2 linked regions of the Danio rerio genome follow. The main gene of each other region encodes a partner of the protein of the gene in region 2 in a complex. Links are inferred from orthologs where the notes say so. Each region holds a gene or a part of one and is shown on either strand. Other genes may lie near its edges. The genes, in order: eps15 and ston2.

Region 1 (3,932 bases), on a different chromosome or scaffold from region 2:
CTATGTGTGCACGTGCCTGAATGGCAGCACAAAATGTTTTATATACAAAAATAGACGACCATAAAATATCACTAATTAAAATATAGGCAAAATATTCACATGATTCTTCCAGATAAGACTCCAAAAGATTTTTCAAAACATTTAGAGATGGAATTGTTTCAAACATGATAACACTCTGCATTTCATTCCATAATGTAGGACCAAAGGAGGAAAAGGCTGTTTAACCAAACCCCATACACACTCTAGGAACAGTCAAATGTAATAACAAGTATTATAACTACAAGTATAATATGATTAAAGGTTTATTTACACAACATCACAGATGCATGTTTTTGTAAAAGCAACATTCTGATTGCGATAAATGTTTTGTGATAGTGGGATTCCTTAAAACAAAACTATTTCATGGCTGCTTCCAAGTATTTATATTTGCCGTGTGTACACGTTCAATACTCGTTTTAGATTTTTTTTCACATTTAATTTTAGAAATTAATGAAATTACAATTATGAAATCAAACATTTTTGTTATCTATAGATATTGCCATTATAACAACACCAGGTTTAAGGTTGCACTCCCTTTTTTATCACCCTTTTTATTACCCAATGGTTTTTTATCTATACCAAACTTGAACAGACTAGAAGAATCAACAACAGAACAATGTAGCAATAAGAGAGACATTTGGAGTATTATGGCCTCAAATATGAGAAACATGCAATAACTTAATATAGCCGAGCAGAAAACAATCAGTCACATTTAATTTTTAAGATAAAGGCTTTGTGACTCAAATACATAATTCTGCTTTTGAACAATTCCATGCAAATGTCCACCTTGCCATGAAAAAAAATAAGTTTTCACCAAAATATGGTAACCATTTCTACAGTAAGTGTTTTGTGTAAGCAAGTATTTTACCGCACTTTAGAAATACTTAAAAATCTCTCTCATTGTTTTTAAACTATAATAATTGATTTACCAAAGTCAACTTCACATCAGTCACATCCATAACGACACACTTTTTCCGCATAAATGCAAAAATATTAAATAAAATAAAATCAATTATGTTTGTTCTAGAGAGCCAACTCTTATACTTTTGACTAGCATAATTTCTTTTGGAATGTGCCGTTTAACTCACAGAATTTCTACAAAGTATGTTGTATAACTCAGACATCCTTTTTTGGTCACGTCCACAACGCATGTTTATTTCCCTTATTTAATGTATTAACATATTTACAGATTGATATTTTTCTGATCTCCTAACTCTGGTCAGTTGTTCTGGAAAATATAAACATATGTTTCAATATAATGTTAACATATATATTTTCTTTGTAAATTTATGTTTTGAGTTTTTACTGCAAATGTCACATCCATAACGCTGGAAATGCTCTTTTACCTCCTGTTTCCTTGCAATAAGTTCTTACCAAACCTATGCTCTTTGGCTGCACAGAAAACACTAAAGACATGACAGATGTATGTCCTTCTCCTCCTAGTATTCTCGATGAGCTAATGCTGAAATGCATATTTCATGCATGTGTGCTTTGCTTCTAAACTAAGAGCACCATCAGCTGCATGTGGTCAACACTACAACCACCACTGCCATTAAAGAAACGTCTTATTCTTAAAGCAATAAAAAAGACAAGATGCAAAGTGAGGAGCATTTCAGACCATCAGTTCAATCAATGCATAATTCCCTGTGGACTAGAAAAACATGCATCTAGAATGCACATGCAGTCAGATATTATCTATAAATGTCACATTAATATTTGCTCAGAACATGCAAAGAGCACATAGGAAATATGTTCCTACTTAAATGTTTAGAGATTTTTGGCACTTTTTGACTTATATTACTCAACTATAACCTTTTTTGAAGGTTGACCATCAGTTTAGCCAGCTAGCGGGCGAGTGTCAAAAATGCTTTAGCTAGCAGGCTAACTAGTTTAAACAGTCGAAAAGAATCCCAAAAAAGTTGTTACGAGTAGAACAATAAAGTTTATAAAATAAAAATACACACAATAAATGTAATTCAGACGTTTTGGACTATATTAGCACCAAACAATGTCTAGTTCCTATTTTTAAAAGGATGAATAGAGAAACACTGAGCTAGCAGTGCAGCAAAACTTCCTGCTGCTTTACAATGCCACTATAAACAGACTGCCATATACTAATACATTACACACCACTAAACCAAACCCAATGTATGTCAAAAAATGGCCTTAATACGATCATTTAAAGGTCATTGTGCCATAAAATGAAGTCGTAATCATCACTGCAGCTCCTCTTTCAAGTTTTCAACGACAGTTTTACAAGAACCTCCACACGTCCATATGCGAGACATTTTAAAGAAACATGACCTTAAAAAGAAAACAAACAAAAGTTGCCACTTTAGATGAACAGCAGCTACGAAAAAAGCTAGAAAAAAAATACATGTAAATCCACCCTAGTTTAACACTGACACACTAAGCTACGCCCTAACGCAAGTCCCTAAAAGATCACACTGAAACTTTTTCTCTCCACAAGCAAATGGCTGAAAACAACTTTAAACAGCTGCGACCAGACAGCGGGCTGTGATCGCTTTCCGCCCTAAAGCGCACATTTAAAGCTCAACAGATCTGGTAAACCCATTAGAACCGCTGGAAAGTGGCCTGAAGAGTGCTATATTTGTGTAGAAAGGGAGGTTACCTGAGTCAGGGAGAGACTGGCAGCCATAGTGTTTCTGTTCCCACTAGTTCATCCTGCGTTGCGATAGGCAATGGGCAATATAGGTATGCTACAAAACCTGGCACTGGAGTCCTTGGTGGATTGGAGCAAAACAAAACCCGGCGGTGCATTGTTCGGTGGATCTGTTGGTGATGATGGGACAGCCAATGACTGGTGATGGCGCCTTACAAAATAGACACTGGAATAGAGTTCTTAGTGGAACAGGAGGACATAAAATAAAACACGGAGAGGGAATACCTGGATCAGGAGATGAAGAAGTGGTGAACTAATGCGAGATCCCTCTTTTTTTCACGGATATTTTTTATTCATGAGATTTTCAAGCAATACTAATAATAATAATAATGATGATAATATTAACAACAATAATATTAATTATAATAAATGAATATAAGGAAGAGTAATTCTAGGATTTTTATTTTAGAAGGGCTCAAACCTAATAAGGGTATAATAATAATAATAATAATCATAATCATAATAATAATAATAATAATAATAATAATAATAATAATAATAATAATAATAGGTGGCATGGTGGCTCAGTGGTTATCACTGTCACCTCACAGAAGGTCGCTGGTTCAAGTCGTGGCTGGGAAAGATGGCATTTCTGTGTGAGTTTGCCTATGTTCCTGTGGGTTTCTTCTGGGTGCTTTGCTTTAACCCCACAGTCCAAACATGCGCTATAGGTGATTCGGGTAAACTAAATTGTCCGTGGTTTAAAGGTGTGTGTTAATGAAAGTGTATGGGTGTTGTCCAGTACTGGGTTGTGGCTGGAAGGGCACTCGCTGCATAAAACATGCTGGAACAGTTGGCAGTTCATTCTGCTGTGGAGAATCCTGATAAATAAGGGACTAAGCTAAAGGAAAATTCAATTAAATTCAATTCATCTTGATTTCCATAGCACTTTTACAATGTAGATTGTGTCAAAATGAATGAATAATAAATGAATAAACATAAGAGGAGATTCTACTTACATTTTAGAGGGGCTCAACCCATATAAGGGTAATAATAATAACAACAACAATAATAACAACAATAATAATAATAATATAAAAATAATCATAGATAAAATTAAAAAATAACTAATAGGTTAGGTTGTAAATAAATTAATTGCATTATGGTAACATTGAGTATTGATTACTGAATAAGCAAATACAAGACCTGTTTACTGTGCTATCCACTGTAAATTTGACTTTGCATTTCTATGCTCAACATTTTTGTTTCC
Region 2 (3,832 bases):
CCAATAATCTGATTTTAATACGATTAAGACAATACTCTGATTAAGAGTCTACATTGTAAACAGAGATTTTTGATTTAATTTAAACCAATTAAGGTCATCATCCATATAAATACAAATTTAAATTAAGACATGTGGAGTATGCTGATTTTAGTCAGATTTTTAAAGTGCAGTACAGACATGCAAACACCGCAATCAAACTAATACCAGCGTGTAGGATTTCCGCTGCATTTTGCGACAGGATATTCTATACACATATGGCTGTTTGACACTATTCTCTGCACCTACAGAGTCGGTAAAGGACCATAGACACCTGCGTTACGAATTGCTGAGGGTTTTTTTTTTCTGATACCACGTGAGGTATCGAATTCCATTAAAACAACACTCTTGCAGCAGTTCATACTCGCATCCAATATCTCGTTTGTCACAAGGGGCATGCATGAAATGTTCCTGAATGAAAGTGAAAGTGTTAAACTGCATTTAAAGTTGACAAAATAAAAATAAAAACACCCGAAATGACATGAAACACCAGAGGAAATGTAGATAGTGCAGTGACAGAATGACGTTAATCAAATTATGTGCTTTAACATGTAAAACTTGATCATGAAAGGAACTTTAAGAAAGCAACTCATGTAAACACCTTAATCATATGATTGTCTTATTCAGATAAAGGCAAATAATTTGGTTACTGATGTCTGTGTAAACATAGTGACTGACTGTGAAATCAGATCTAGATAAAGTGATATGTCTTACAAGGCCAATTCTATGATGATGTTAAATTTCTCTGGTCCTGTGGGTTAGGCTAATGTAAAACTTCCTCTAGTAATTTGCATGAAGTGGTTATAATTGCATACATTCCATTAATGTGGTTGTGGTGGTATTTTTTGTAGCGCTGGGTCATCCTCATACATTCTTCTGCCGTTTGGAGCTGGGCTCAGATTGGGAGGTGCCGCCAACATTTGAATGCGTGGTCGAGGTGGAGTTTGACATGCCTTCTGCTTCTGCGTCCAAAGCCGCTGTTCGCTCTCTGTCTGTGGGGGACAAAACTGACTTGAAGAAATGGATCACCTACAAATCGCATTACTCCTATCAGGTATTCTGTGTGTGTGTGAAAGTGAGAGAGAGAGAGAGAGAGAGAGAGAGAGAGAAGGAAGTAGTAAAATATGCTTCATTTCACTAAAGTTGTCCTCTAGGCAAGGATGAATTATGTAAAAGTAACACACTATGTTCCAACATCCAGAAAAAGGCTATAAGCCATTCTACATTGGGTTACATGTTTTAATTAGGACATTTTTAAATGCACAGTTCTATTACCAGTTCAGTTTCCAGAATCATACTTGCATAAAGCATCAAATATATATATATAGCAACAGGCCTAATACGACATATTATAAGACTCAAATATGGAAATAATATCAGATGGTAACTTCGGTCAATTTTTCCCAATAGATAAACAGCTCTCTGTAAAATTTCATCATGCTTTCACTTTCTTTTAAGACATGAAACACACATTTACCAGTAGGAATGACATCCTGCCCTACTCTCTTACAAATAACCATGTGACTATTATACAATGTGACTATTACAAAATCATAATACACTGTGATATAGACTGGGTCGTTAGTTTCTTGGACTGATTTGTTTTCTCACTACAATCGATCCGCTCAATCTAGCAGAGACCACCTCATTCAGGCGATCTCGGATCGATTGATTTGGAACTGCGCAAATAAACGGGGTAAACGAGATAAACTCTGAAACAATGTTTATGTGTGAAAGCACCCTAAGATTGTATTTGCACGCAATTGACATATAGACGCAGCCAAGGTAAACTTTTTGTGACAAGGCAGCACTGCCCCTATCGGGCCAGTAACCACTCTGTCCACTGGCCCGAGCGTCTCGTACACTATATATATATATATATATATATATATATACACACACCGCTGCTGTACATTTTCATGTTAATATTACGGTAGTTTATTCCACCAAAACCCCAGTAAAGACATGGATTATTGCAAAACAAGATGGAGATTTCATTCCAGCAATTGCAGGGCACTGAGGGCAGGGTATGTTATTTAGGTTCTTCTGGATTTTATATAAGTGTGTTGGTGTTTTTATCTGGTTTTTATATAACACATTAAAAAATAATACACATAACTAGGCCTGTATATAACCTTTATTAGCACTGGCAATCAAATAACCGCATTCAAAAAGATTTTTTTCACATAAATATATTGAATCAATGTTTATTATTTGCTGCCTTCTGTTTTTAATCCAGTTTCTTGAACTTTCCCCCCCTTCATGAGTTAAAACTTTTGGAAGTCTATAAATTGACTTTCATTCATTCATTCATTTTTTTGTCGGCTTAGTCCCTTTATTAATCCGGGGTCGCCACCGCGGAATGAACCGCCAGTTTTTACGCAACGGATGGCTTTCCAGCCGCAACCCATCTCTGGGAAACATCCACACATACATTCACACACACACACTCATACACTACAGACAATTTAGCCTACCCAACTCACCTGTACCGCATGTCTTTGGACTGTGGGGGAAACCGGAGCACCCGGAGAAAACCCAAGCGAACGCAGGGAGAACATGCAACCTCCACACCGAAACCCTAACTGAGCAGAGCCTCGAACCAACGACCCAGTGACTTTCTTGCTGTGAGGCAACAGCAGTACCTACTGCGCCACTGCATCCCCCCTAAAATGACTTTTTTTGGCATTTATTATTTTGGCCAATTTAAACAATTATAAAGAACACAAAACAGAAACATTTTTATCCTCTGACTGTGTTTCCTATGTAGAAGAACCACTTCCTGCGCTCCATCTGAGTCTCAGTCTCACACATCATCAGTGACGTCATGTGAAAACAATCTGCAGTATTAATTAGTTTTGTGATCCTTGAATAGGGTCTTAATCAATTTTAATAATGTCATTGTTCTAAATTGGGCTTAATTTTCTTTATACTCTACATTGGTTGTGTAACTTTTTTTAAGCTGTTTGATAGATTTTATAGCTTTGATACTTAGAGTATCTTCATCTTCCTCACTGACACAACTTACCCCTCCTCCCACAGTGATTAAACCTATATTTATGTCATATTATATTCTATACATCTGTCCTTCCCCTCAAAATTACATTTTAGAAGCCTGCTAATTTAATTAGCCTATTTGCTGGTGATTTTCAAGCCCCTCAGGCTGGGGCTGAGTTAAATGTCATGCACCCTCAGACAAAGCCACCGAAAGACAAGTTGTCCCCCTGAAGCGAGCTGCTGTTTCAGCTGCCAGAGCTCGTTTTCCCTACTGCAATTCAAAACATGTCATTAAGGTGGCTGGAGCTTCTTTCTACAAACATCTGTTCCCATTACTGTTCAGCAACCACAGGGAGTGATTCATCACCGAGCAGAGGTGCGCAAAAACAGCACAAGATGTAAAACTCTGCCTGTAACCTGCGTATAGGAATGAATGTAAAGCTGCTGATGAAGCATCTTGCTGTATTTGATTAATGCATTGTAGCAGGTGTCTGAATGCCTGTGAGGTCAGCCAATGGAATGAGCTTGTTCAGAAAGTTTAGTCTGGATCAGAATTTTCTAGATTTGGAAATCTTCAGCCATCTTACTTTTGTGTCAGTTCCGTATCAAGTAAAATTGGATTAGATGACAGTGATTCAGATACAAAACACTTATTCTGATTTCCAAATCTGGATCACTAGTACTCTAAATACAATTACAATTTATGCTACTACATTGTAGAAAATTAGTTGCTACCTTAAATGTTTAAGTTGAATCAAACTAGTTTACAAGTCATCTTAAATTAAAACCATAAAGGGCA

The links.
Region 1: the proteins of ston2 (region 2) and eps15 are in contact, whole or in part, in an NMR structure (PDB 2JXC), measured with the Homo sapiens proteins. The link is inferred for Danio rerio from reciprocal best matches to the Homo sapiens genes STON2 and EPS15. Residues at the interface, in NP_001353779.1 of Homo sapiens: Trp309, Arg310, Ala311, Thr312, Asn313, Pro314, Phe315, Glu318, Gln321, Asp322, Gln324, Pro325, Ser326, Ile328, Asn329, Pro330, Phe331, Phe334, Phe335, Glu337, Gln338, Glu339, Arg340; in NP_001972.1 of Homo sapiens: Leu139, Gly148, Lys152, Pro153, Val154, Leu155, Leu156, Asn157, Ser158, Lys159, Val162, Asp163, Leu165, Gly166, Arg167, Trp169, Glu170, His176, Gly178, Met189, Val192, Tyr193, Leu196, Glu197, Lys198.

What each region holds. Positions count from the first base shown.
Region 1 is NC_133183.1:18,336,851-18,340,782, forward strand, and holds the start of eps15 (epidermal growth factor receptor substrate 15), read right to left. Parts: upstream 2,717-3,932; 5' UTR 2,699-2,716; coding exon 2,672-2,698; intron 1-2,671. UniProt on the Homo sapiens protein: Involved in cell growth regulation. May be involved in the regulation of mitogenic signals and control of cell proliferation. Involved in the internalization of ligand-inducible receptors of the receptor tyrosine kinase (RTK) type, in particular EGFR.
Region 2 is NC_133192.1:18,060,504-18,064,335, forward strand, and holds part of ston2 (stonin-2), read left to right. Parts: intron 1-887; coding exon 888-1,090; intron 1,091-3,832. UniProt on the Homo sapiens protein: Adapter protein involved in endocytic machinery. Involved in the synaptic vesicle recycling. May facilitate clathrin-coated vesicle uncoating.